4 linked regions of the Tamandua tetradactyla genome follow. The protein of the gene in region 2 purifies or fractionates together with the protein of the main gene of each other region. This does not show direct contact. Links are inferred from orthologs where the notes say so. Each region holds a gene or a part of one and is shown on either strand. Other genes may lie near its edges. The genes, in order: CDYL, EHMT2, ZNF644 and DNMT1.

Evidence for each region.
Region 1: the proteins of EHMT2 (region 2) and CDYL purify together in Homo sapiens (affinity purification with mass spectrometry; 4 studies listed by BioGRID and IntAct, with this or other methods). This does not show direct contact. The link is inferred for Tamandua tetradactyla from reciprocal best matches to the Homo sapiens genes EHMT2 and CDYL.
Region 3: the proteins of EHMT2 (region 2) and ZNF644 purify together in Homo sapiens (affinity purification with mass spectrometry; 3 studies listed by BioGRID and IntAct, with this or other methods). This does not show direct contact. The link is inferred for Tamandua tetradactyla from reciprocal best matches to the Homo sapiens genes EHMT2 and ZNF644.
Region 4: the proteins of EHMT2 (region 2) and DNMT1 purify together in Homo sapiens (affinity purification with western blotting; 3 studies listed by BioGRID, with this or other methods). This does not show direct contact. The link is inferred for Tamandua tetradactyla from reciprocal best matches to the Homo sapiens genes EHMT2 and DNMT1.

What each region holds. Positions count from the first base shown.
Region 1 is NC_135351.1:6,958,679-6,966,640, reverse strand, and holds the start of CDYL (chromodomain Y-like protein), read right to left. Parts: upstream 3,019-7,962; 5' UTR 2,852-3,018; intron 1-2,851.
Region 2 is NC_135331.1:87,475,144-87,483,000, forward strand, and holds the start of EHMT2 (histone-lysine N-methyltransferase EHMT2), read right to left. Parts: upstream 3,008-7,857; 5' UTR 3,000-3,007; coding exon 2,958-2,999; intron 2,311-2,957; coding exon 2,244-2,310; intron 2,156-2,243; coding exon 1,937-2,155; intron 1,831-1,936; coding exon 1,577-1,830; intron 638-1,576; coding exon 553-637; intron 468-552; coding exon 427-467; intron 270-426; coding exon 114-269; intron 1-113. Other genes in the region: ZBTB12 (zinc finger and BTB domain-containing protein 12), read right to left, coding at 5,251-6,630. UniProt on the Homo sapiens protein: Histone methyltransferase that specifically mono- and dimethylates 'Lys-9' of histone H3 (H3K9me1 and H3K9me2, respectively) in euchromatin.
Region 3 is NC_135337.1:33,361,849-33,368,808, forward strand, and holds the start of ZNF644 (zinc finger protein 644), read left to right. Parts: upstream 1-3,939; 5' UTR 3,940-4,455; coding exon 4,456-4,507; intron 4,508-6,960.
Region 4 is NC_135337.1:91,553,584-91,560,429, forward strand, and holds the start of DNMT1 (DNA (cytosine-5)-methyltransferase 1), read left to right. Parts: upstream 1-3,830; 5' UTR 3,831-3,925; coding exon 3,926-4,005; intron 4,006-4,209; exon of another isoform or gene 4,210-4,497; coding exon of another isoform or gene 4,498-4,553; intron 4,554-6,846. UniProt on the Homo sapiens protein: Methylates CpG residues. Preferentially methylates hemimethylated DNA. Associates with DNA replication sites in S phase maintaining the methylation pattern in the newly synthesized strand, that is essential for epigenetic inheritance.

The sequences.
Region 1 (7,962 bases), on a different chromosome or scaffold from region 2:
TTTTGAGGTACACAGAGGAGTAGAGCTTCCTTTTGAGGAAAGAGTGAAGTAGGCTCCACAGAGTTAGTGTTTAGCTGCAATTTGAAGCCTAGGCAGGATTTCAGCAGGCATGGATGGAGGAGGGGTCCTTAGATGGGAGTTACAGGGTAAGGAAAGGGGTAGAGATGGTAATAATGGGATAGGATAGCACACAATGCCTGATCTCAAAAAAGCACATGGTGCCTACAAATCTTTGGGTGGGGAGGAGAGGTGATTACTCTTGGAAAAGTTCAGAAAGATGAATCAAAGTCAGATTTTTTTTCATGTTATTTTCAAATTAAAGTATCATTTATATACAACAAAATTCACCCAGTTTAGAAGTCAGAACTTTGAAGGTCTTGCAAGCCCAGGTAAGGAATTTGGATGGCTAGAGATCATATGATGTCATAAAAAGAATCAACAGATTTGGCTTTGGATTTCTGTTCCATTACTTGCTCACTCTGTGATTGATAGTAGACAAGTTACTACAGTGGACAGATTATGTTATGTGATGTTAGTCTTAGAGTCTCCTTTACTTATTTTCAAGGGTGATAAGAATATACTCTCAGGGGAATGTTGAAAGGATAAAAAAAGTATTGTGCATAAACGTATCTGAGGTATCGATTAACTTTCTACAGGATTCATTGGAATTGTCAGTGGTGGGACCACAGTCTGCATTGTATTAAGACCCCCAATTGATTCTGATCAGTGTAAGCAATGGGAGCCATGAAAAGCTTTTTTTTTGTATGCTGTGTGGTGGGGGTCACGTTTTATTCTTTTCCGTACGAATATCCCATTACTGCAGCACTATATGTTTAATGATTTTTTTTGGCACAGTTAGAACAATACATTTTGATTATGTGTGCAGTGGCACATCCAGGGTTTGGAGATCTGGTGGGAATTAGAAACCAAAGAGGTTGGAAAGCAGATGGATTAGCCTCAGAGGCTGGTTTTGGTCAATGTTTGTTTGTTTATTTATTTATTTATTTATTTATTTATTTATTTATTCAGCAGTAAGCAAACATTGCTTCAGCCCCTTCTTTGAGTGAGGACCTGCATTTCAATAGAGAGATAAAAGTGTCACCATTTCATTCCATCTTTTAAGGAAGGTCACTTGGAAGACCTTCTGTGGCCTCTGTCTTCCTTGTTCTCTGTCTGACTGAGTGTTGGTGCTGGTAGCAGCAGTTCAGGGAAGGCTATGTGTTTCTAGGTTGATGATGGAGGGCAAAACTCTCAGCTCCAAGTATCTACTGCAGTGGCAATTAGTGGGATGCTTCCTTGGCTTTGATCTTTCCTTTTGGATGCTCCAGTCTGGAACCCACAACCAGTTCCTGGTCTAGATCTCATTCTTAATAAAAACCTTTAGACTCTGGTTCTGATTCTTCTCATTTATAACACTAGGAAATTGTAGGCAGGGAAGGAATGAACGTGGAAGCATGAAATCATTTGACTAGAATTACTGAGTAGCTGTAAAAAGTGACCACCAGCAGGGGAAAATTAAACCAGGCAAGGTCAAAGAGGGTCCTGTGGAAGAGTGTATTGACATCAGACTGGAAGGAACAGTAGGAGCTAATTAAGGGAGAGGTGGCAGGGTCAGAGGTTGGAGTTAGCAGGGTGGGTGGATAGTATACTAGGCTAAAGGAACAGAGCAAAGACCAGAGCATGGAACAACTCAAACCACAGCAAACATGGTGTAAGATGAGGCTGGTGATAGAGGTGAGGAATAGACCCTATAAGGCCTTATAGCCCCCTTAAGTTCATCTTCATCCTAAGATCAATGGGATGTCATTAAAAAGCTTTTAAATCTAGCATTAATCAGATTTTCACTTTGAAAAAATCATTGTGGCTGCTCTGAAAAGACAAGGTTAGAGGAGGGTCAGCGTATCAGAGTACTTTGGGGAGTAGTTTAAATGAGAGATGAAGGTAACTTGGTCTATGATGATGGTGCTAGTGATAGAAAGAAATGAACTGAATGTAGAGAGAATTAGGAAGTAGACGTGGTAGTCTTTGGCAATGGGATAGAAATGATGATATGAGTCAGTGGAAGTTGTAAGGGTTGACTCCTAGGTTTCCAGCTTGGGGAGACTGAATGAATGGGAGTGCCATTATTGCCCTAGGGAAACTTGAAAGAAGACCAATTTGATGGGAAGATGATGAGCTCAACTTCAGACATCCTGAGTTTGAGGAGCCTTTGAGTTGTCTTAGTGGAGCTAGCAAGTAGATAATTGGATGTATGAAACTGATGCTTAAAAAAAGATCAAGCTGGGCATATTCTTTTGTGGGTTTATAGTCCACCATCAAACTATAGGTGCTTTCAGTTCCTCTCCAATTACCTAAAACAGAAATCCTCATCCTTCTCCACATATTGCCTATATGAAAGACACAATGCGTCAGTCATTAATGATTCTAATCACTGAATCATTACTCATTCAATCTAAAATATGGACATAATTTTGGACTTCTACCTTTCCTCTATGCCAAAATCTTATTAATCACAATGCCCAGATTTCTTCTTTTGAAATGTCTCTTGCAGATTTCTTTTCTTTTATTCTGATTCAGTCCCTTATTACATAAAATACTTGTGAATTGGTGCCTAAATTTTTCTCCCAACCTTTATCTCCATCCTGAACACTGTAATCAAGTTTGTTTTTCTTCAACACTGCTTCCACCATTCTATTCCTTCAACAAAACCTTTCAGTAATCTCCCATTGGCCTGAGGTGACATTTTGACTCCTTGGTTTAGAAGGCAAGGCCTTTCACAGTGTGTCACCAGTCTTTCAACTGCTACTCTTTCCCTCCCATTGCCTTCATCCCTTTCCAATCTGTTTTGTACCCTGAGATGAATCTCTTCAGAATGTTGCTTGAAATCCATTGCTTTCCAGGAATGGTCTAGGTTAGGAATAGATGTTTTCCTCAAGGACCAAGAGGGTCACTGAAATCAGCTTGTATTTCCCTCCTCTGTGCCCCTGGTCTGTCTCTACACTGGGTGTTTCCTTACTGGGCAGGGGCTTTGCCTCATAAGAGGGCCCCTCTATGATGTAACATCCTCACACCTCTGTACTTGTTCTACTTCTTGTAACATCCTGCAAAAAAGCTAAGAACTTAACATCAAATCACAGCTCAGTAAAAGCAGTTTTAAAGGCGACCATTGCATGTTACGATTATAGAGCACTCTCTTGATCTGACTGGATCTGGAAAATGTGATATTCAGAGCAGTGGTTTCCACACTTGGCCAATTCTTACAAATATTTGGGGAGATTTTAAATGTGTGCAGTCAATCCTTATTTGTGGTTGTTATGTCAGTAAATAGTGAATCATGGCTTCTAGAGGAATATAGGGCTTGGTTCCTGAGAACCTCTGGTCACATTTTTCTCAATTGATCAACACATGATCTTGTTTTATGCATATTACTGTTCAAAGACAACTTATTTAATATATACTGTTGACTCATTAATATTGAATTTAGACTGACCGAGCTATAACTCATGCCTAAAAGAAGCTTATCTAACACACTTTTTTCCGTTTAATGCCAATCACAGCTTTCTTGCATTTAGGAATATTAGACTACCATTCAGCACTATGCTTGGATGCCATTTTTTTTTAAAAAGGAGAATTTATTAAGTTGCAAATTTAAAGTTCTAAGGCCATAAAAATGTCCCAATTAAAGCAAGTGTATAAAAATGTCCAAATTCAGGCACCAAAAAGAGGTCACCCTCACTCAAGAAAGGCCAATGAAGTTCAGGGTTACTTTTGCAACTGGAAAGGCACATGGTGAACATGGTGAAGTCTGCTAGCTTATCTCCAGGCTTTTTGTTTCATGACGCTCCCTTGGGAGCATTTTTGGAGGCCATTTTAAAGTGTTTTGGTTTGCTAGAGCTGATGAAACGCAATGTACCAGAAATGGATTGGTTTTTACAAGGGGGATTTAAATTAACTTAAAAATTTATAGTTCTAAGGCTGTGAAAAATGTCCAAATCAAGACATCAACAGGGTGATTTCTGGACTCTGAAGACCAGCTACAGTGGGCTTGTGCTCCTCTATCAGACAGCAAGGCACATGGTGATGTCTGCTGTTCCTTCTCTCCTGGGTTTCATTGCGTCCAGCTTCTTACTTCAATGGCTTCCTCTCCTATCTCCTGTGTGGTTCTCTTTTAGCTTCTGTGTCTCTGACCTTTTTTTTTTTTTTACATGGGCAGACACCAGAAATTGAACCCGGATCTCTGGCATGGAAGGCAAGAACTCTGCCTGCTGAGCCACTGTGACCCGCTCTGAACGTCTGTGGGGCTTTTCTCTCTAAACTTCTCTAGAGCTTGTTTTTCTGTCTTTTATCTTCTTTAAATGATTCTAGTAAGAGGATTAAGATACACCCTGAGGCATGCCTCAACTGAAATCACACTAATCAAAAGGTCATTTCATAAGAACATTTATTATGGTTATTAGGTTATCAATAGTTAGAAAATGACATCGACTTCTAGGTTGATGTCATTTTTGACCTAAGAATAGAAAACGTCAACCCGTAAGAGGTCTACATCCACAGGAATGGATTAAAAGAACATGATCTTTTCTGGGGCATTAAACCAACACAAGCAGTGAAACCTCACAAAAAGCATAAAAATACTAAAAACATGGCATTAATGAAAACTGAAACAAGAAGGCAGAGCATCATCTTGTTTGACCTCAGCTGGGAATATGTGTCTCAGACGTCTATGATTTTTTGTTGCTTTCTGTGTGCCTGTAAATGACCATAAGTATCAATTTTGGAGTTACAAATACATTTTTTTGTGAGTAGGCACATTTGGATATACAGAATCTGTAAACAATGACGATGTTTATTACATGGCCCCCCTCCTTGACCTTCTGAATAATCTCCATAGGGTGAGGCTTTGGAACCTGTATAACTAGCCCCTGCTTCAGAGTTCAGAACAAATAGACTTGGCTCCAAACCAATAGACAGTTAAGGAGGATGGCGATATTTAAGTCTAGAAGTGCTGGGAGGACAGCGACGTTGATTTTGAATCTGGAGGCACTGGGAGGATGATGATATTTCTATTAGTGATAATAATATGATTGGCCTCTATTTGTATATCAGATCATAATTTACAGTGTATTTTCTTATATGAGAAAACAGAAAAGATGGAAGTGCAGAAGAAAAAGGAGGAGGTTTGCAGGGGACCATCTTTCAGATGGTGTTTAAAACACTTGTGGGGCGTGGGGTGCAAGGGTAGTTCAGTGATAGAATTCTTGCCTGCCATGTGGGAGACCCAGGTTAGATTCCTGGTCCATGCACTTCCAAAAAAGAAAAAGGAAAACAAAACAAAACAACAACAAAAAACAAATGGTGCTGTAATAATGGGATAATCACATGGAAAAAGAATGAAGTGTGACCCCCCACCGTACAAAAGAAACAAGCAAACAAAAAACAATAGCAAAAAGTCAACGCCTGTGGGCCAACTAGGTGCATATTACCAGCAGGTTGTTGGAAATTTGGGTCTGGGACTGAAGAATGAAGTTAGGGCTAGAGTAATGTAAGTTTGAGGGTCATCTGTCTGGAAGAAAGAGTTGAGGCTGTGTAAGGGGAGTGAGAGTCTTGTGAAATAACTACATTTAGTCTACAGAGGAGGGAAAAAGAGTAAGGAGATAGAAGATGTGGGAGGAGAAGAAGGTCAAGTTCAGGCTCATTGTGTAGGGAAGGAAGATCCTTCTAGAAGGAAGAGTTGGGTGGGTGGTCAGTATGGTTAACATTAACGATTACAGAGTAACTGAAGAGGAGAAGGGGTGGAAGAGGCCAGTGACTTTGGAATTCAGGATTACCTTATGATTTTCTTAGGGATATATATGCTGGAGATGGGTGGAGGATTGGTTTTCATGGGCTTGAGAAAGGAGTGGGAACGGAGAGGTCTCCTATTTCCTCTAAAGATTCCACAGAGATCTTTTTGATCTGACAAGCTTCCTGCCCACATCCTTACTCTTGCTTTATTAAGAAAAAGATTTTTTTTAAAGGAATTCAATTATCCAACAAAGATTGATTAAACCCAGAACACTGGTTATGATGGGTGATTCTTGAAGTTGAGGCTCTTCAAAGGTAAGATCTAACTCCCTCCTTTTAAAAAATAAAACAAAAACGTTTTTCAACCTTTTAAACCCTTACATGAAATTGAGTTTCAGAACCCTTCATTGCCAAATTCCTGCCAGAAATTTACTTCTGAACGTTTTAATAGATATCTTCAAAGTGCCTTCTCTTTCGATAAATGTTTAGATAGGAGAAAGATTTCCAGGAAGTTGCCTCAAACAATTTAGTAAGACTTCGAACTATGCATTTGAACTGAGATGGTTTGGGATTGGAATTTGAAAGTAGATATGTTAGGAGTTGATGTTATTTTCTAACTATTGGTAGCTTAGACTTTTTTTTCTTGCTTTCTTTACTTGATATATGTTTCTACACTGAAAACACTCTTTCTAGGAAACATTCTATTTTCACTTTGAAAATATTTGTATGTGTATGTGTGAACAAATGCTTGTTGAATCAAACGTTGATTGTATTAAACACTTTGGTTTTTGCATTCTCATCCTTTATTTTTTATTTTGCCTTTTAATTATGAAAAATTTAAAAATAATACAGTAATGTAGAAAGGGAAAGATAATGAGCACATATATTATCCTTCCCTAGATTTAACAGTTGTTAGCATTTTGCCATGTTTGCTTCATATGACATATGATAGATAACATACACAAATGCATATAATATTGTTCTAAGCCACTTAAAAGTTAAATTACAGATCTCAAGAAGCTTCACCCCTAAATACTTCAGCATACATCTCTAAAAATGGCATTCTTCTACATAACCATAATACCAGTATCACACCAAATTAAACTGATAACAATTTCTCTGCCCATATTTAAATTTTTTCATTTGTCCCCCAAATATTTTGTATCTCTGGTTTGTTCAAAACAAGATCTCATCCAGATATCCCTCTTTTTCTAAGACAATCTCCCCACTTTTCTTCCAGCCCTGCCCCCCACATTCTGGCTTTGTCTGGTTGTTTCCTCATAACATCTTGTCCTGTTCTCTCTTCTCTGTATTTCCTGTATCTGGAAGTTATAACGAACTGAAGGCTTAACTAAATTCAAATTAATCATATTTGGCAAACAAACTTCATGAGTGATGCTGTATACTTCTTATTGTATCATTGGAAGGAACATATTAACCAGTTATCCTACTGTTGGCAATGCTATGTTTAAATGCTGGTTTGAGGTGATAATGGCCAGATCTCTCCATTATAAAGTCATATTCTCTCCTTTGTGACTGGGGAGAAATCTTTGGGTGGTAATTCTTAGGTACCATGTGACAATCCTATCATCAGCATCAACATTTTACTTAAGATTTTTAGCATCCATTGATTGTCCTTGTTTGGATCACTGATTCACGAGAAAACAAAAAGTGGCAATTTTCTAATTTTACCATTTCTCCTATATTTATTAGATGAGATTTATCTATAAATATGGGATAAATCTTCACTTCCTTCCCTTTAATTGTGATTTTCAGAGAAGACATTGATGCAATAGTCACTCTCCTTTAGGGTGCCATTATTGACTCAACAATTTTTAAAAATATATATTCAATGTGTTTAATCAATTCTGGTGATTATACTTTTTAATGTATAATTGTCCAAAAATTATCCAGTGAGAGTCACTTAAAGCTAGCTTCTGTGTCTTTTGACATGTTCCCATTCATTTTTTTTAGTTGAGAAATCATCACACAGATACATTCCATACATGGTGTGCAATCAATGACTCACAATAGCATCACATAGTTGTGTACTCATCACCATGATCATTTATTAGAACACTTGCATCACTACAGAAAAAGAAATAGAAAAAACTCATCCATACCATACACCTTACCCCTCCCTCTCATTGACCACTAGTGTTTCCATCTACCCAATAT
Region 2 (7,857 bases):
AGGCAGTGAATGAATGGGCGCAAAATGAATGGGGGAGGGGGGAGGAAAGTGTGGCCAGTGAACCCAGGCTGTGGTGGAGGGGGGCTGGGGGAGGCCGGCCAGCTCCATCTCACCTTGCTGTCAGAGTCCACGCGTTCGTCCACAGAGTAGGAATCATAGTAGAGACTGAAGTCATCTCCCACCACTGTCTCCCACTCCTCCAGGGGCCCAGGGTCCCCCTTCTCCAGAGTCACTTCTCCTGAGCCCCGGGCAGAAGCCAACTCATCCGACTAGAAAAAGAGCAGAAAAACTGACGTCGCTGGCACTCCTCACCAACTTTCACCTCCCCTGAGCACCCAGAGTCGGGTCCCAGGCCTGGGCACCCCTGAAGCAGCCCCACCCCAACCCCAGGTGGAGAGGCTTCGCTCCCTGCCTCTCCTGGCTCACCAGGCTGCCTCTAGAGTTCAGTTTCCTCCTTTTGACGGCATCTGGAAGGAGAGAGGAGTGAGGCTTGTACTCGAAATCCTGCGGACAGGCCACATCAGGCTGCAGTGGGTGGGGGGTGGGACTGACCTGAGGTCACCTTCCCCAGGGAGTGCACGTCATCACTCATGCGGAAATGCTGCACTTCAGGGGGCCGCTTCTCGGGGACAGGGGGCTGGGGGCCGAGAGGGAGCACACTTAGGAGAAGGGAATACCTACAGTTCTGCACAGTAGCCTGGAGCCCTTGGTGGGGCTGGATTGGCGGGCCACACCCTTAAAAATGCCATCTGGGTCTCCAGGAACGAGTATGTAGCAATACCAAGGGCTGTTTGCCTCAGAGGAGGATGTCAAGCACATCCCCCACCACCAACCATCACTTATCTTTCAGCCACCCAGATGCAGGGGTCGTTCTCCCATTTTTAAGATGAGAAAACAAACTTTACAGATTAAAGATCCTCGTTGATGGTCACACGTTATGAATGTAATCAATACCAGCAAGTTGAGCAATTCAAAGTGGTTAAAATGGGAAATGTTACATTGTATATATTTTAACACACACACACACACACACACACACACACACACACACACACACAAGATGAAAGACCTGACTGAGGCTGCCCAAACCACAGCCAGGACAGAATGTTATCAAGAGTCCTTAAAACCCGGCCATAAAGTTTCTGAGATTCTGGGGCCATTGTCATTTCCCTCCACTCATTTCTGTAGTCCTTCCTCATAGGGATTCCCAGGAATTTAAAACGGAGCAGGGGCAGCTTCAAAGAAAGGAGAAAAAAAATTCCCCTGGGGGCTGGCTTTGAGGCAGAAAGGAAGGGTGGTTTCAAGTTCCTTTACATAGTCATTATCATAAAGGTAAGTAAGACCTTTGACTATATAATTAACTCTTTAAACCTGTCTCTGTCTTCCTCTCCAAGGACGTGAAACTCCAGAAAGACACAAAGACGTGTGTTCAAGAATTAAGCTCCCTGGCCCAGTCCCTTGAAACCATATGTGAACACGTGACTGAACTAGAAGACGCCTGAAACCAAGTTGTAAAAAAAGCCCACAAGAGTTTCCTGGCAGTTGATCGCCCCACCCCCCACCCCCCACTTCTTACCTGTCCATTGGCAGGTTTAGACATGGTTTTCCGGGCTCGGTGAACCTTGGGCTGCCCCTCTGGACTGGGGGTGGCCGGAGGGGGCTCAGGCCCTGCTGCTGTTGCTCCCTGGGCACCTGGCATGCTCAGCAGCCTCATAGCTAAGCTCTGGACTGAGGGGGGGGACTTGCCAGCCCCTGTCATTGACATCTTGGCCCGGCTGGGACAGGCGCCCCCCTTGCTGGGGGAGGAGGGGAATGACTTTGTGGCATGGCCTAAAAAACAGTCAGGCAGACAGGCAGAAGGCAAGATAAGAGCGAAGGCAGAGTCAAAGGCTGCCCCGCCCCCACCTCCACCCCCCCACCACCCCCAGCCTCTCACCCAGCAGGATGCGGCCACCATGGAGGTCCCCATCTCCTTCGAGGCTCTCGGGTTCATCCCCAATGAGCGGTGTGGCCCCCACAGGGGTATCAGCCCTCTCATCGCCAACGGTGACAGTGACAGAGGCTGGGGATGAGGGGCCAGCTGGCTCCAGGGGGTCGGGGGTGGTCTTGGACAGGGTCTCCTCACTACGAGGGGTGTCCCCCAAAGAGCCATGAACTAAAGAGGAAGAGAAAAAAGTACAGAGCTAAGGGCTATATTGGGGGAGGTGAAGGTCCAACTGGGCCCGTTTCAGCTGCACACTCACCTCTCTCGGCGGCTCCTCTGGGCTCCTTCTCCAGCAGCAGTGCCCCCACCTCAGCGGGGGTCTCCCCCTGGGAGGGGAGACAAGGGACGGGAGGGCTGGTCAGGCCGGTAGGGAGTTGGGGGGCCCAGGACGCCTGGGCTCTGGGAAGAGACAGCAGGCTCCGGGGCCTACCTCTTCCCCTATGGGCCCCCCCCCCTTCCGCGGCCTCGGCTGCCCGGAGGGGCCGCACGACCCCTCCCCCGGGCCCGCATCAGCCCCCTCCCTCTCGGCAGACCCCGCATCTCTGGGGCCGAGAGGAGAGGAGGGGGAGGGGGCGGGGCCTCCGCGCCCCGGCCCCGCCCCCTCCTCCCGGCTGCACGCGCCGCTCCCCCTTTGTCCCCCAGGCCGCGGGGACCCCGGGCACCAACCCCTCCAGCGCCCGCTGCCCCCCAGCCTGGCGGACGGCCCCTCGTGCCCCTCGCGCGTGTCGCTGGGGCCCCGGCGCCCGCCGCCCACTCGGGGGCAGCCGGCGGCTGCACGCGCGCCTCCGTGCCCACTCCCCCCACCTCCCACCCCCTGGTCCCCTCATCCGCCCCCGGTGTTGGCCCCCCAGATTGCTGCAAGTCCCGCCCGGGCCCCCCGGCCCCGTTGCACCCCCGGAGCATTGCACGGGCGCGCGCTTCCCCCGGGCGCGCGCGCGGGCATGCACCCGCCTCTCCCCCTCCCCTTCCGCACCTCGGCGGCCGCCACCGCTGCAGCTCCCGCCGCCGCCGCCATCGCCGCTCGCGCGGGGGGCCGAGCCGGCGCGCGGCCGCCCCGGGTCACGTGGGCGGGGGGAGGGAGGGCGAGGAGGGGTCTTAAAGGCGCCGCACAGCGCTTTTCTGGCCATTTTCCCCCGAGAGCTGCCTTGGAGATGGCGGTGGTTGTTCTAAGCTCCAGGCCGTAGGCGACAATTGCTGCCCTTCCTGGCCTCAGCTCTGCGGAGAACCGAGGGCGACGCACGCCTGGGCCCAAGTGTGGCCTTTCCGTGCGTACCTGGTTTTAGGTAACAAACGGAGAGTCTGACCCTCCTGATTCTTGGCCTCGGCTGTATTTTTATCCGGCCCGCGTGTGCTTCTCCCACTTCTGGTTGCTCTTTTCTCTTTCTGGTTTCTGGGTCACCAGACTAGAAGGCTCAGCCGTAATTTTGGCCTCGCTTCTCTAAGGAGCAAGAAGGGGGCGATGGGGATGCGCCGAGAACACTTACACGCTCTGCTAGTGTGGCCTTGCTGCTTCTTGTCCCCTCTAGTAGCGTCCCCTTTTGAAAACCTGAGACTAAATGTCTCTTGTGTTTATGCTGGGCATGTTACTGCATCACATGCACTAGGGATCCAGGTAAGCCCCAGCAGCCCAAGAATCATTACTACCAATTGACACTGCATTTACCCTTTTTTTCACTTCCTAAACACTTCACAAGCAAAATCAGACACTCCATGAGTCATAGCCTAGCTATCAATGAAAGTAGGAATGATATTGCACCAAAATGTACAACCTCGAGCACTAAAGTACCACCCCTTTAGGTATGGCATTCTGGCTAAATTTGGAAGATAACGATTTCACAGGAAGTATTGGACACAGGTAGGTGGTTGAGATAAGGGGCACCTGAGGCCAATTCAAGGCCTTCTGGGAACTGTAGTTCTCTTTGGTTAAGACCTATTCCATAGCTTTCTGGGAATTGTAGTCTTCCTTGCACCAGAACCCAAATGTAGCGGTTGTTCACTTTTCCCTGGAAACTGTACCTACTACCTAGACAAAAATTGCCCAAACCCGGAATTCTGCTTATAATTCAGTGGACATACTGACCCCCCTGTATAACCTATCCCTAGTCCTAATACCGAACTCATCAAATAGAAAAGCAACTCAGGTGCATCCCAGCCACTACCAAACAACCACTGCACTTGTGGTGCTATGGGGTATCTTGCAAGGTGCTGAGGTTACAGAACTGACAAGAGTCCCTGGCGAGAGGAGCACACTTGTTACACTCTCCCTTCCCTGTTACAGGCTGGGGTCCTTCGGGGATGGGACCTGCAGGAGTTGTGATCTCCAGGTATTGAGCATGCCACATTAGAGGGAGAGGCTGTCTAGGGTGGGGCAGTCAGAGAACTGAATAAAGAAAAAGGGTTGGTCATAGACACGCAGTTGCCAGAGTATAAAGAAAAAAAGGTGGTTTTTTTTTTTATTTTTTGTTGAAAATAAAAGCAGAAAAACTAAAACCCCAAACTCCAGAAAAAATCCTAAAAAATACGTTTTGTTTTTTTAAAAAATACTGTATAAGTCTCTACTCCTTCCCCCCCCAACAGCCCTTGTGTCCTCTCTTCTAAGTGCCCTCCCCCCACCCCTGCCACTATTCACACTGTTCTCGCTATTATACCCCCACTTCCCAATATCTACCCAGGATGCTCACCTCCATATTCTCTTACCTGACTTCTTACTTCGTTCTCCCTAGAATTTTGGAGAGCCTTGTACCCAAAGTCCCCAACCCCCAGCATGCAAGAACCGTTTCCCCGTTTCTTTTCTGGGATTCAATACTCTTCTCCCCTACCATTCCCTCTGCTGAGGGTCTATTCTAAACAGGAGCATGTAGGCTGCCTCCTGCCCAGTTCCCTCCCGATTCCCACCCACCCAAACCCACCTCATGAAATGTCAGAATCTCCTCCTGGGCAGCCTTTAACCCAGAATAACACAAGCTCCAGTCTTTTTTCTCCTCATTCTATAGGACCCTCCCCCTCCCTCCATATATCCATGCACTTCTTAGAGACAATCTTTCTCTGGGACTCCGGATCCCCTGACCTCAAAAAACCCTCTCCCCATCTCCTTCATTCTCCCCCCCACTCCCCGCTGTGAAGAGGCAGGGTCTTCTCTCCAAGGAATCTTCGGCCCCTCCCTCAGGATATGTCTGGCTAGGTTCCCCGCCATACTTTCCTGCCCCAGACCCCCCCCCCCCCATTCTCCTAGACCCTTCCCACCGAGCCCAGGGGCCCCGGGCCCACTAGCGGATGAGGACGTTGATCTCAGCCACGCTGGCCTCCAGCACGTTCTCGGCGGTGGTCTTGCCGTGCTGCTCCTTGAGGTGCCGCCTAATGGCGGGCTTGTGGGCGAAGCGCACGTCGCAGTAAGAGCAGCGGTAGGGCCGAGCTCCCGAGTGCAGGTTGAGGTGGTCGTGCAGCGTGGACTTCTGCGTGAAGCACTTGCCGCAGATGCCGCACGAGTGCGACTTCACGCCGCGGTGCACGTTCATGTGGCGGTTGAGGTTGCTGCTGTGGTTGAACTGCTTACCGCAGCGCGGGCACATGAAAATGAAGTGTTGCGCCCGCATGTGGAAGACCAGCTTCTCCACGCCCTGGAACACTTCCGGGCACTTGGTGCACTTGATGTTCTTCAGGGGGTTCCCACCCGAGAAACCCCCGGGCAGGGGCCCCCGGCTGCCCCCCGCCCCCAGGCTGCCCCCCGCCCCCCGGGCAGCCATGGCCACTGCTGCCGCCTCCACCAGACCCGAAGTGGCCCCCACGCTGGCCCGGCCCCCTGGGATCAACAGCAGGCCCTCCCCTTCTGCATCCTCAGAAAGGCTGTAGCATGCCTTCACCACACCCTGCGGCGGGGCCACGGCACTGGGGGGCATGCTGCTTTTGGCCAGCTCCCCGAGATGGCCGCTCACGGATCCTCCGATGCCCAGACCTCCTCCCAGGCCTCCGGGGGGTTTGAGCCGGTGCGCCACCTCCAGGGCGGACTCCACCTTGACAATGCAGATGTCAGACACGTCTTCGTCCTCATCCTCGTCCTCCTCCTCCGCCTTCAGCTCCAGGTCCTCATCCAGCGGGAACTCCAGCTTCACAGGGCGCAGGAGCGGAGGGGGCAGAGGAGGTGGAGGAGGGGGTTTGGGGGCCGGCTTTGGGGTCCTGGCAGGAGGTAGGAGGGACTTGGTAGCGCTGACACCGCTCACGAGGCTGGCCTCGCTGACCCCGTCCTCTTTGAGGCCAATCTTGGGCTCGATGAACTGGCTGAGGGCGTTCCGGCATTTCTCCACCACGTGCTCCATCTGCAGGTAGGAGGCAGCCGTCAGATAGTTGACGATGTCCCTGACGGCAAATTCCAGGGCACCAGTGTAGCAGGAGAGGAGCAGGTCCGCCACGATGCGCGCACTGTGCATCAACGAGACCTGCAGCTCAGAGCTGGGGTTCAGCAGGAACTGGTCCCGCAGGAACGGCGAGCAGGCGGCCAGGATGACCTTGTGGCCGCGGAACTTGAGGCTGTCGGCCACAATGGTCACGTCGCAGAACCGCTCCTCTGCGCGGAGCTGGTTCATGTTCCGCAGTGTAGCGGCCTCATGGCCCGGCAGCTGGAAGCGCAGGACTTCCACCCCAGAGGCCATTGTGGCGGAGGGGGCAACCCTAGTTGGGAAGGAAAATGGTCAGAGACAAAGGTCTCTGGCTCTCCGAAGCCGTGGCTCTAGGCCCCGCACCTCCATTCTTGCTCGACCTCCTATCCCCAACACCCTATCCACAAGACTTCAGGACTCTTCCTCAGTTTCCCCAGTGCCAGGGGAGTCGCTGGGCCCCTGCGAGAAGGAGGCGTGGTTGCCGGGGGCGGGGCCGCCGGCGAGCATCGGGCAAGCCCGCGAGCCCACTGGGGAGGAACTGAGGGAGGGGGGGTAGAGACCTGGGACTCTGGGCTCCGGGGCGGCCCGGGTTGCAGGTTCTTCTCACCCCGCCCCCTTTACCCGCAGCCTCGTTCCTCCGCCCCCCCTTTGCACGTTTGCACGCGCCTTTCACGTTCCCCCCTCCTGCCGTCTGCACGCATCGTGCACGCCACCCCCCAGGTCCGTGGCACGCCCCCCAGCCCCACGACCCTAAATGCACGCGCCTCTCACCTGGCAGGGTTCCGCGCGCTGTTTTTTCCCCCCTATTTCCCCCACCCCCCCGGGGCTGGCGGCGCCCCCCACACACGGGCAGGGCCTGGGCAACGCGCAGGCGCGGGGGTGCACGGGGCGCGCGCGCGTGGCCGGCTCCGCGTGGGTGTAAGGGGGAGGGGCGGGGGCGGCTCGTGCCGTGTGTCCCAGGCCCCGCGCGCGGCGGCGGCGGCGGCGAGGACTCGGGGAGGAGGAAGAGGGGAGGGAATTAAAGGAGCAGGATCCCCCCTTCCCGACCCCCCTTTCTTCACCAGCCCCCCCTGACGCGGTTAAAGGGGCCGGACGGCCTTGCCTCCCCTTTGGCCGAGATTATTTGTCCGCCAGAGCGGAAATACGTTCCACTCCCCGCTCTTTCTCGCTCCCCCTCCTCTGTGCCTCCAGGCCCCGCGGTCCGTCTGCGCGTGCGTGCCAAGTGCCGCGCGGAGGCTCGCTTGCTCCGGCCCGCCTCCTGCTCCCGGCGGCCAGCGGCGCTACCCGCTCCGCACCCCGCCTTCCAGCTTTGAGCGTCCGCCTGGCTCCCAGTGGGCCTGGCATCCCGCTGGCCTGGCTGCCACCTGCTCCCAGAAGTGGTGCCGCTTTGGTCCACCTGTGCGGCGCTGGAGACCGTGGTAGAATCGCGGCCTATCCCAGGGCCCTAAACCGCCCGGCGAGTATCGGAGCTGTTGATCGCTGTTTCCACGCGTGTATCTC
Region 3 (6,960 bases), on a different chromosome or scaffold from region 2:
CAGTATGGGACAGCACAGGTATAGTTAGTAAGTGCTGTAGGAGTATGGACAAAGTGTAAAGTAGAAACTGAACTGAGCCTTAAAAGATGACTGGGTCAAGAGTATGAGACTAAAGGCTGAAGAACACTGTTCCTGTAAAGAAGAGATAGAAATTAAAGCAAGAGATATATTTTGAAAGCAGATAATAGAATAGTCTGAACCCGGTTTAGGAAATTTAGTTTGTATATTGTGGGGTGTGTGTGTGTGTGTGTGTGTGTGTGTGTGTGTGTGTGTGTGTGTGTATTTGAGGGTGCCTAATCCATGGTCATAAATTGAGTACTTGATGAATATTTAATAGAATTAATATGAAGCAGAATACCAAAAATGCTAGAGAAACTCTACTAGCAAAGCCATGTGGGCCTTTAAAGAGAAATTTAGGGAATATTGATACTCTATGGTAATATAATGGAGAGTTTTTAAATAGGGTGAGAACTAAGAAAAGGTTCTTCAGTTTGGCCAATACTTTGTTATTGGTGACCTGTTTTTAAATGTTTTATTTAGACATAATTTACACATAGTGAGGTGTACAAATCGTGAGTACAGGTTAGTGAATTTTTACATATAAGTGAATCTAGGTACCTTCTACCCAAATCAAGATATAGAACATTTTCAGAACATTTTGGGTCCCCTTTTACTAAATGGAAGTAAGATTCTTGTGCCTACTGTCAGTCCCCTTTCAAAAGTAACCACTATTCTGAATTCTATCTCTGTAAATTAGTTTTCTTGTTTCTGAACTTAATTATGGCATATCTGTCCTCCTTTTCAAGGGTAGTGAGAGTTGGTGCTTGTGTCTATTTCTCTTCTATCCTTGTTTGGTATTTGTGAATTTGTTGGTATTTTAGTTTGCTGAAGCTGCTGGAATGCAATATACCAGAAATGGAATGGCTTTTAAAAGGTGAATTTATTAAGTTGCAAGTTTACAATTCTAAGACAAAACAAATGACCAAACTAAGGCATCCAGAGAAAGATAACTTAACTCCAAAGAAAGGGCCCATCAGGGTTTCTCCTCAGCTGGTAAGACACATGGCAGTGTCTGCTAGCTTTCTTTCCTCATTTCATAGGACTTCCCTGGGGGTATTTTCCTTCTGCCTGTCTGCAGGTCTCTGGCTATGTGGGCTCTGTTGGCTCTGAAGCTTTTTCCAAAATGGTTCCCTCCAGTAAGCAATCCCACCTTGAATAGGTGGCGACACATCTCTATGGAAACCATCTAATCAGAAGTTATCACCCACAATTGGGTGGGTCACATCTCCATGGAAACAAAAAAAGATCCCACCCAGCAGTACTGAATAAAGATTGAAGAGTATGGCCTTTCTGGGGTACGGGACAGTTTCAAACCTGTACAGGTGGTAAAACAGACGATGGGTAGCTGGAACCGTGGCCCTTCTGTTTTATTTCGGTTTTTTGTTTGTTTCCCCCAATCTTGATTATGCCAAGTTTAGAGAGATCCTTAGTCTTCACTATTATAACTCTTTAGAGGCTAGTCTTATGATTTCAGTGTTTGTTCAGAATGGAGAGATGTGAATTTCCTTCACAGGTAACATAAATTATCTGGCTTGCTTTTAGTACAGTATTCTCTAAACACATAGCCAAGAAGGAGGTGGAGGAGGTCTTAGGTTGCCCCCTAATGTAGTTGCATTTTGGATCCTCTTTGACAGTAGCTTGTAGGTAATATGTAAGTTTAGCTTTCAGGATTTCATATTTGCTTAATAAAGTATTGGGTATTTCTTATTGTGATCGTAGGGATAGAAATTAATTGGTGTACTACTGTTTACAGATTTGTATCCACCTTAGAATGAGAAAGATTTTGGCATTTATTTGTGTGTAAATAATTAGGATATTACCCTAAGGCAAATTGCACAAAAGATTCACTGGTTAAAACCCGTGAAGGAGATTTCATAAAGTGAGAACTGAAACTAGAATTGTTGATCATGGTTTTTATTTCTAGGTCTTCAATCAGTTTGTTTGTTTTTTTTTTTCAAAATGGGTTAGCAGCATTATTTTTCATAAATACTGAGCACTGGAAGCTTTTATTATATAACAATATTAAATTGGTGCTTTGGGGAGAAATTTGATTTTGTTCTGAAATATGTATTACTAAAAAAAGTTGTAAAAGGTATGTAATGATGAAAATATGTCTTCATATTTTAACATGCTTAGCTTTGAAAATTGGAGTTTTTTTTGTAAATTATGCAGAATGGAGCATGAAGAATTTCTCAGCATTGGATTATGAGTGCTTTTGAGTTTATGAATGAAAATATTTACTCTATTAAAAAGTTGTATGTTTGGACTTTGTGCTTTGTTTACAATTTTTAAAACTAAAGTACATTTAATATATTCCTATTTCAAGAATTTTAATAGTTTCCTTAAAGAAATAATAAAACCTCATCTATCAATTTTTCTTATTGTAGGTTTTGTGTTTGTGAAGTATAGAAGACTAAAGCAGAATTAGGTTAGGAATTGAAAAAGTATATGCTTGTTATCTACAAAATATCAAAACTTTCTTCATAGCTTATTTGGGCTAGATTTCAAAACTTACAAACAAAATTATTACAATGGTACTAATTATATGTAGGAAGAAATGCATTGAACAGTATATGTTTTCCTCTTGACAAAAATGAATGTTATATTTGAATTCGGGATTGGGAGATTTGAATTTTTATATTCGGAAAAGCATTGTGTCATTATATTTCTCCCCACTTTTGCTTGTTTAAATGTTTATTAGTTATTATACAAATTCACTTACTGTCTCACTAGGAATATGCACATATACAGTGCTTCAAATAGCTCCTGATCTAAAACGTGATTTGAAGAGCACCTATTAGGGAAATATTTGAATTACTGAGCTTATGTGAAACAAAATAATATGAATGAATGGTTTATAGAAAGTGTATTAATTAAAAAAAACCTCTTGGCAAAAATTTTTATCTAGATATTGAAAAAGTGGTATGTGTAGATTAGTGGAGAGGGAAGGTACTGTCAGCTATGAGAAAGTCATGTTTAAAAGCACGGAGTAGTTCAGTGATTAGAATGCCCGCCTTCCATATGGGAGACCCAGTTCGATTCCTGGACCATGCACCAAAAAGAAAAAAAAAAAAAAAAAGCACAGAGATGGGAATTATGGAATGCAAGCATTTTCCTTGGCTGAAGTAGAGTTTATTTGAAATAAATATAATGAAAAATAAACTTGATAAGATTGTGTCTTGAGCTAGAGGAATCTAAAGGAGTTTTATGAGAAAGAAATAAGGAGTTTTACTGAAAGCCTTTGAGCAGAATTGCATGAGGAAAAGAGGAGAGGGATTAACAGTCAAGTAATATAATTGGAGAAAAGATTGGTATGAAGAAGGTCTGTTAGGAAGTTAATGTCTTGGTTCACGATGAGTATATGAAGGTAGCATGGGTAGTTTTAAAATAAAACAGGTGGGGACTAAATTAAATCAGAATACGGGGGTAAGGAGGACATTGTTTGCATTTTAGAACTTCACCTACTCTGCGACACCAAAGGAAGAGAGGTTTATTTTGTCCAAAACTTAAATTTTCTGTAGCACATAATCTAATTCAATCTGTTTGGATAGATGATTTCAACAATCCAAGCACATTGAACCCAGAATGGGAATAAGGGCTTGTAATTCTGTATAGCTTAATGTAATGCACGGATACGTCCCAGAGTGTGATGAGAGATACTGAAAAAGTATGGCAAAATCCCTTGAGGGGTGGGAGAAAAATTATGGAACTATTAAACTCTACCAATGAGGAAACTCCTGGTACTGTCTCAAACATTAGGGACTCCCAAGTCAATAGGCCATGCCCTTGATCTTGAGGCTTGCTCTTGTGAAATTTATTTATTTAGTAGAGAAGCTAAGCCTACCTATAGTTCTAAGAGTTACTTCCAGAGGACCTCTCTCTCTCTAAGCCCAACTCTGCAAGTAAAATCATTACCCTCTCCCCTTTGTGGGACATGACATGTAGAGGTGAAAGCTGTCTTGGCAATATGGGAAATGACTTCCAGGGATGAGCCTGATCCTGACACCATGGGATCAGCAATGCCTTCCTGATCAAAAGGGGGAAAAGAATTGTAGCAAATATGGTGTCAGTGGCTGAGAGAGTTCAAAAAGAGTCGAGAGGCTACTCTGGAGGCTACTCTTATGCAACTTTAGCTACATATTGCTGTTTATCATGGTTTGCTAAACCCCAATCCACACCTTTCTTGCCAACCCTAATGAACAGCTAGGGTTTTATCTGAGATTCTACAAAGGTTCCATGCATTATGATTACTCTCCAGAAACTTAGAACCTCTGGATGGATTCCTAGGCCAGATAATTCCTGAAACCCAGAGGGGCCATCTTCTCCAGAAAATGACCTAGTTCTGTCCCCTTCTCCTATATTATCAATAGCCCTTTCCAACATGAAAAAGTTGAAATGGACATAGCCCAAATACCTCTAAAGATGGGAAGAAAGATCAAAGGAGAAGGTGGAGTTATAATAGAAAAAATGACATTTAACAAATGAGTATAACAGCTGAATCATATTTCTTTTAGATCCAGTGTCTTGGAGCAGGTAGAAGGAAAAACCTAAAATTGTAGAACTGTAACCCATACCAAACTGAAATTGTGATGTGCTTTGAAATTTATTGCTTTTTTGTATATATGTTATATTCACAAATAAAAAATAAAGTAGATTTCTATTGTGGCTCCTAAGTTTGTAGTGCAAAGTTAAAATAAGAATGGAATAGTTTTATTATCTTCTGGTATTGAACATAAATTTACTTGGAGAAAATTTTCATTGTTATTAACACTAATTGAGATACATCTGCCTTTTTCTATTAAAAAAAACTGACCTGAGGTTTTTTTTTAAAGTTTGATTTGAAAAATAAGTAAAACACAAGAAAATTATGCTATAGCAGTATTTTCTGAATTTCAGGTACTTTTGAGTACAAAATATTTTAGATGAACGGAAAGAGAAGATGTAAACTGTAATGCTGAGGTTTGAGCATTTGAACTGTGGTTCTAGAGACATTCTAATTGGTAGAGGGACAGTTGGGAAAACAGGTTAATTAAAATTAATAATCTGGGGTGGGCCATCATGACTCAGCAGGGAGGGTTCTTGCCTGCCATGCCAGAGACCCGGATTCGATTCCCGGTGCCTGCCCAGGCAAAATAATAATAATAAATAATAATAATAATATGAACTACCAGTGTTTCAATTTATTTTTAAGTAGATATTTGTTTAAAATTTAGGAGCATTTGGGAACATACTGCTTTTTTTATGAGAAAAATAAAAATCCCTAAACTGTGGTTCCCTCAGGGTGGTGGTAGTATTTGATATTTATGATATGTTTTTCTTAATGTTGACTTTAAGGTTTCCTAAGTTGAAAGTGTGCTATGTTTTATAATGAATGAAGACCTTTTTTACAGTAGAAGTAGAAAAACATGAAATATCACAGAAGTAACATATATTTTAAAATCTTTTCTGCTTTTATTAGAGTTAGAAGATATAGCAGAAATTTCGGAGTTAATGAAATTTTTAAGATAGTATATTTGTCATAACAAGTTTACATTTTAATTGTTATCACAGTTAATATAGACTTAACTTCAGTTAAGAAGTTAATGGTGAGATTTCTGGCAACATGGCAAAACAGGCACATTTGACTCTTAAGCTTACTACTGAGGCAAAACAGCTAAAGTAAAAGAATACATTTTCCCCTACTCACTCTCGTTGGGAAATAGAGATTCTGCATACATGTCTGAAATTTGGGGTTTCTGTATAATAGTGTGGGTGAGCAGGGGTGACCGTGGAACTATCTATTGATTAACCTAGTAAACTGGTGCAAGGAGAGAACGGTGGTGGTGAAGTTAGAGATAATTTTCAGTGGTTGCGGTAGCACTCAAAATTTTGTGCTGTGGCAGTAAATGTCTTACAGTGACAGTGCCATTGACATTTATGCAGTGACATCCTAAATAGGATGCCTGACCGCCTCCTTATTCATCTGATTTTCCAAGCCTGATTCACCAATTTTATTATCAAGTTTGATTATTTGATATTCTTCCCATAGCTTTTTCTGAATTTAACCTTAGAAATTTAGACTGAGAAATATTGTAATTCAATGTTTGAAAATTTATCATATAAAATACATAATAGAAGGTTGAAAGATAAAATTTAGGAAATCTCCCACATGTAACATAGGGGAAAATAAGAAAAAAGATCACACTTGTGGGTTTAACATAGGTGTGATTAAAACTACAGAACAGGAGAAAACGGATGTAGGGAATTGTTTAAGAAAAATTGAAGCAAAACCTTAAGTTTCTAGATTGAAAAGGCTCACAGAATGCCAAACATAGTGACTGAAATAAAGAATCACATTATGGTGAAATTTCAGACACCAGAAATAAAGGGAGGGCTCAAAAATTTCAGGTGAGGGGAGGGAGGAATGGGATGTATAAAAAAGGATTGGTACTCAGTAATGTTGATACTTGAGTAAATAAAATAATACCTTCAAATTTCTGAAGGAGAGTTTTTTCCAAACTATTAATTCTATATACCCTGTGTGTATACCCTACCAAGTGTAGGAGTAGACTAAAAATAGGAAATGTTAGAATATTTACTTCAAATACACTGTATCTCAAGAAGTTAGTACAAGGTGGGCTTCATCAAAATAATTGGGAAATCAAAAAGAGGAGGGAAAACACAGAAGAAATAGAAAAAAAAAGATTTTTGCAACTATATTCATTAAGGGATGTTGATTTGTTTTTGGTGTGAGGATAATATTGTCGTCTTAGTATGAGTTGGAAGAGTTCTTTTCTATTATTTGACCAGTTAGTGAAAGACTGGTGTTAATTCTTTGAATATTTGCTAGCTCTCACCAGTGAAATCTGGTTCTGCGCTTTTCTTTGTGGAAGTTTTTTGACTACTAACTCAATCTCTTTG
Region 4 (6,846 bases), on a different chromosome or scaffold from region 2:
TAGCAAAGTTCTTATTTTCTGAATATTGAACACTAACTTAAATAGCATTTGATCAGCTGTCAAAACTGAATGCTCTCAAAATATCGAGTAGAAAGTTCTTACAAATATCTTCATTGCTATAGTCATGACCTATGTTACTAAACAATTTTCTCGATTTCAGGAAAATACGAAGATACAAATATTTTTACAATTAACATGAAAATCTTAACCACCTAAACTGGATATCTTAGTTAGCTTATTCATAAGCGTATTAAAAAAAAATCTAAGCAATCATAGTAAAGCCTGTTTGTACAATATGTTTCATAAGCCAATTTAAAATTAAAGCAAGCAAGGAAAAAAATCTGTGGATATTAGATTGCTATCTAGTTTCTTAAATTCTAAATATTAAACCCCCTATCTTAAATGCCATTTGATTAACTATCAAAGGGGTGCATCTTTTTGTTAATAAAAGTTTACTGCACTGCAGCCGTGGCTATGGTTTAGAACTGTCTATGGTGATTTTTTTAATTTTAATTTTTTATTTTCTCATTTAACTTTTTTATGGTGACTTTTGCGCTCTAAGGGCAGGAGCGAGACCATGTGGCCTGTGAAGCCAACTATTTTACTCTCTGGGCCTTTAAGGAAAAAGGTTGCTGACCCCTGCTCTAAGAGACCACAAGAGACAGTAAATAAGAGAATCTCTGATGATGATCAATGTGACGAAAAAAAGAGGGGAATGGAGCTGCTTTTGGGTGGCCAGAGGAGACCCTGGGTGGAGTTGGGTGGATCTCCCAGGAGACTGGTCTAGGAGGAGGGGGCAGCATAGGTTAAGCCTGTGATGCACGCAAGAGCTTGAAAGAGTAAAAGGGGGCCAAGTAAGCTGAGCTCAGTGAAGGGGGGAGGAGACCCTGTAAATGGAATAAAATACTTGGATTTCATTTCAAGGGCAATAGGAAGTTTTGGAAGATTTTACAGGAGAATGACATGTTCCAATTATTTTTATTCTTTTTTTAAAGCTCTCTGGTTGCACTGTGGAGAAGGGACTTTCCGGGACAGCTTGGAGCTGAGGAGGAAGCTGCTAGAATAGTCCAGGTAAATGAGGATGGCAGGCTGGGCTGGGGTGGCAGCAGAGGTGGTAAGGAGAAGGACTTGGGTTGCATTGCAGAGAAAAAACCAACAAGAGTAGCTCATTCTGTGAGGGCTGGCTTAGTTTGCTGGGGCTGCTGCGACAAATACAACACACTGGTTGGTTGGCTTAAAAACAGGGATTTATTGTCTCATGTTTTTTTTGAGGCTAGGAGTCCACAAACTGAAGTCTCGAGGCTGCACTTCTTCCTGGAGTCTGTAGTGTTCAGGTGGTAGCTTGCCACAATCCTTGGGGTTCCTTGGCATGCATTTCTGCCTCCGTCACATGGTCATCTGCTCATTTTCTGGCTTCCTCTGACTTCTGGCTTCTACTGACTGCCTACATCCAAATTGCCTCTGTTTGTAAGCCTCCAGTATATGGATTAAGACCACCCTGATTTAATTTGGCCTTAGCTGTGAAAAGGATGTTTGCAATTTGCAAATGAGTCCAAATCTTAACTAATAATACACCTTCAAAGGTCCTGTTTACAAAAAAAAACCAAACACATGGGGATGTGGATTGGGACTTGAACCTATCTTTTGTGGGGGAGGTGAGTGATTCAATCCCCAATGCACGGGGAGGAGAGAATTTAAAGATGGTGCCTGGCTTTTTGGCGTGAGCAGCTCGGGAGAAGACCACTGAGTTGGAAGTCGAGCTTTGACACGAACTTGCCATGGGCCCTTGGGCAAATCTTTTTTTTATGTCCCTGAGCCCTTGTCCCATCTGTAAAATGGGTCAAGTCATCCCTTCCTCACAAGGCTGGCAAAGGACCCAATAAATGCAGCTGTTCTCTCTGTCAAGTTGAGGCCCCTGAAATACAGGTCTGCTAGTCTGTTCCCCACCCGGCTTAGAGGCCTGGATGCTGGGTTCCAGCAGGACTGTGGGGCCTGAGCCTCACTCTGGCAACACTGTCTTCTACCTGCCATCCTGTCTGCCCTGCTACCTCCTTCATCTAGTTCTCCCAGTGCTGTCCTTTTAGCCTCCCAGGGGTCAGATGGCTGACCAACCCTGGGGTCACTGTTTTGCACTCAAGCTCTGGGTTCAGAGTTCCTTTTACTTACTGAATTTATGATCTTGGGTCCTCAGTTCTAGACCATGGGAAATGGGGTCCTAATATCTCCCTTTAGGGTTTGTTAAGGATTAAATTATATAACTCCTAATCAGTCTGGTATAGAATAGTACATAAATGCTGGTTACCTATAAAATTAATAACTATTAATTATACTCTTAGTATTATTATTCCGTCTTCTTGGATCTTGCCATGCATAGAATCTATAGCAACCAGAGGGCTTGAGGTCCACTTCTGGCCAGGCACGCTTCTCCTTCCCAGCTGCTAGGGTGCCTACAGTGTGTGTGCGCACGCGCGCGCGCATGTGTGCACACAAACACATTCACTTGTTAAATACCAAGAAAATGAAAAATTATACCACAATTTTAAAATTTTTTTATTAATGAAACCAATCAACATACACATGAACCTATTCTTAATGTATGAACATTCCATACTTGGTGTGCAATCAATGGCTCACAATATCATCACGGTTGTATATTCATCACCATGATCATTTCTCAGAACATTTACATCACTCCAGAAAAAGAAATAAAAAGTAAAAAGAAAAAACTCATATATACCATACCCCTTATCTCTCCCTTTTATTGACCACTAGTATTTCCCTCTACCTAATTTATTTTAACATTTGTTTCCCCCTATTTATTTATTTTTAATCCATATGTTTTACTCATCTGTCCATACGTATATAAAAGGAGCATCAGAACAAGGTTTTCACAATCACACAGTCTCTTTGCAAAAGCTATTATCACTGTGCAATCATCTTAAGAAACATGGCTACTGGAACACAGCTCTACAGTTTCAGGCACTTCTCTCTAGCTTCTCAGACACACCTTAATCTAAAAAGGTGATATCTATATAATGTGTAAGAATAACCTCCAGGATAACCTCTGGACTCTGTTTGGAATCTCTTAGCCATTGACACTTCATTTTGTCTCATTTCGCGCTCCCCCCTTTCAGTCCAGAAGGTTTTCTCAATCCCTTGGTGCCGAGTCCCAGCTCATTCTAGGATTTCTATCCCACATTCCCAGGAAGGTCCACACCCCTGGGAGTCATGTCCCACGTAGAGAGGGGGAGGGCAGTGAGTTTGCTTGTGTGTTGGCTGAGAGAGAGAGAGAGAGAGAGACAGACAGACCACATCTGAGCAATAGAAGAGTATACCAGAATTGTTAAGTTGACTTGGTTCTTTTTTAAAAAACAGGCTGTGGACGTGATCTCGCCCTCCCAGCACTACCAGGGTCCTTGGCGCCAGCTACATGTTCTGTGTATCCTACAGATTTTCTGGAGTAGGTGCTATTTAGCCCCGTTTTACAGGTGAGGAAACAGACTCAGTCCAAGTGACCCACCGCTCAAGGTCGCCTAGTGAGGAAAGAGATGGGGTTGAAAGCGAGGACTTTAACTCAAGGGCCTGCACGCTGGCTCGTAACCCCCTGAGGCTGCTCGCTACTTTATCCTCAGAAAGCCCGAAAGAATGAATGAATGAAAGTCTTGGGTAGGGCGCTCCCACCCGTTGCCAACGACGGAGCTTGGGCAGGCCCACTGCCCCGTGTAGGGGTGCGCGCCCGTCTCGCACATGCGCGGTGCCTGTGCACGGCTTTTCCGCCCGTACGTGGTACGGCCTCTCCGTATGGTACGTCCCGCTTTCCCCCTTGGGCAGGCCGGGGTGGTACACGCCGTCTCCCCTCGCCGCCCCTCCCAGTCGGTTTCCGCGCGAAAAGCCGGGGCCACCCGCCCGCGCTGCAGCCTCCGAGATGCCCGCCCGAACCGCCCCGGCTCGTGTGCCCACGCTGGCCTCCCCGGCCGTCTCACTGCCCGATGATGTCCGCAGGCGGTAAGTGTCGTGGGAGACTGCGTCCTCGGGGGCGGCCGGGGTGGGAGAGGTACGGCGCTGGAGGGGGGGTCGCTTCCCCTCGGGCCGGCTCGCGGCCGCCGCTGACAGGCGGACGCGCATGCGCGGGATGGCGCGGCGGGCGGCGGTTGGCGCGGTCAGGGTGGTACTTCCGGTCGCGCGTGCCCCTGGCCATTTGGCGCCAAAATGGGCTGTGGCCCCTCACGGCGCGCTGGCGGCTAGAAACGTGGGGTCTCTTTAGACATCCCCCCCCGCCCCGCAAAACGGAGCAAAACTGGGGGCTCACCTCGGGGGGTCTCCTTTTGCTGAGCAGCGGTGTTAGGCAGGGAGCGGCCCCCCCAGACCTCTGGACGCCCCTCAGCCCCGGCACTCTGGCCTCCACTTCCGGTGCCCAGTTGGGCCGGGGTCCGGCCGACCCGGTTCTCCGTGATTCGCACTGGGGAGACCCTTCGATTCCCCGCGCTGTGCATCCGGATGGCGGCCTCCAGAGACCGACGTCGCCGGTCGAGGCCCGGGCGAGGCCGGCTTAGGTTCGCGAGCCCGAGCCTTTCATGGGGGCTCTGTTCATTCCCTCGGGCTGTGCGGGTGTCGTCCGCCTCCTACCCGGCAGCGCAGGACCGGGACCGCGGAGCAGCTGGATAACGCGGACTGGTCCTTTCTAGGAAATCTGCTTGCCTGGGAGCCCTGGGCATCCAGGAAGCCTCGCTAAGCCAGAGGTGGCTGCAGTTTGCAGGGTGGCATCTAAAACAGGCCCCTTCCTGCCTGAGTTGGGTCCCCGGTGGACAGGGGTCGGTGGAAAGAGCATTTGGCCTCAGCCTCTTGTTTGTGGAGGGCATATCAAATTCACTCTTGGGAACCCCATTCCCGGGGCTGAAGGCTTCCACGCCAGATTTGTGAACCCAGCTTTGCCATTTCTCCTTTTCCCTGTGCTTATTTCCCACCCCATCCCCCAAGTCTAGTCCGTATTGTGGGGCCAGACCAATTCTGATTGGGGCTTTTGGAGGTGAGAGGTGTGTGTGTGTATGTGTTTAGGGGCCCTGGGGCTTCTGTACCAGTCATTTAAAGCTCAGCCCACTTTTTAACCACGGTTAGAGGGGATTTGTCTTGTCTGTTGCAGGAAATCAGGCTTCCCATCCTTCCCCAAGATATCCTGTTACTTAAAATGGAAATGAAATGATGAAAGTATCTACCTTCACAATGTGAGACCCACTAAATGAAATTTGGGCCCTGCCTTATTTTCCTTGATGATAACCCTCTCTCCACTGGCTTGCCTGTGACCTTGGGCAAATGTATGCTGCCTCTGCATCTGTAGAGTAGAATTAATAGTGTCGGCTTTAAGTGACATTATCGGTGCATAAAGGCATTAACATTGTTTTCACCTAATTTGCCTTACTTTTTTCAGTTCTGCTAATCAGTTACAAATTTCATGAAGTACTTTACTTTATCTCATTTAATCCTCAAGATCTTAAAAGCGGGTTTCTCAGGAATTTGCTATTAAGAAGCAGAGATTTGTGCTTAAGTCTGCAACTTGCCATAGCCTTTTTCCTTTGCCAAGTGGTTGCCAATGGCCCACTGACTCAGGGGGCTCTGTGGCCTGGTTGAGTGCTTTGTTTGAAATAAAACACCTATGGATGAGTCTAAACACTCACCAGTGCACCCCAGGTTCCATATAACTTTGGACTAGAATTGCCGCCTCTTGGTATGAAGTGATGACACCCACATTAGATCAAGTGATAGTCACTGAAATTATTAGCTTATGTGAACTTCTTAACAGCTTTTTGTTTACATTTTGAAGTATCTCACGGTACAAAAAAATAGACACATAAACATGACATTCAACAGTCCCTTAAACTTAGATTTTGTAAATGAATGTAAATTTTTTTTTTTTTTTGCATGGGCAGGCACTGGGAATGGAACCCGGGTCTCAGGCATAGCAGGCGAGAATTCTGCCACTGAGCCACTGTCACACTGCCCTCAAAGTACATTTTAACAAGCAGTTATAGAACAGATTTCAGGGTTTGTTATGGGTTACTATTCTACTATTTCAGATTTTACCTTCTAGCTGCTCCGAAACACTAGAGGCCAAAAGAAATATCAGTATTGTGATTCAGCAGTTATACTCATTTGTTAAATCCTTTTTTTTTGGTTATAACTCCTCCTTCTCCTTTGATCCTTCTCCCAGTCTATAGGGATGTTTGGGCTATGCCCATTCTGACTTTTTCATGTTGATTAGGGCTGTTAACAATAAGGGATAGGGGGTTGTAATTAGTTGATAATCTTGGAGAGGCTAGTGCCTCTGGGTTTCAGGACTTATCTGGCCCAAGAACCCTCTGAAAGTTATAGGTTTCGGGAAAATGAAGTTAGTGCATGAAACTTTTATAGTGTCTCAGAGTCCTAGGTGTTCTTAAGAGTTAACAGTAATGATGTTGGTTGGGGTTGGCAAACCATAGGAATTAGCAGTGTTTAGCTGAAGTTTGCATAAGAGTAGCCTCCAGAGTAGCTTCTGGACTCTGTTTGATCTCTCAGCCGCTGATACCTTATTTGTTATACTTCTTTTCCCCCTTTTGGTCAGGAAGGTATTGTCCATCTCACGGTGTGAGAGCAGACTCATCCCTAGGGGTCAGGCAGCTTCCTTTTTAAACTCCTTTTTAACTTCCTTTTTTAACTTGTAGTTCCATTAGATATCTAATGATACTAGAAAGTATTTCCAATATTTGTATTTCTAAACTTTTTGAAGTATAATATACCCAAGTCTTCTAAAATCATGCCTTTCAGGGCAAGCCACATTTTTCCCTGTGATTTTTCTTACTCTGCTCAAGCCAC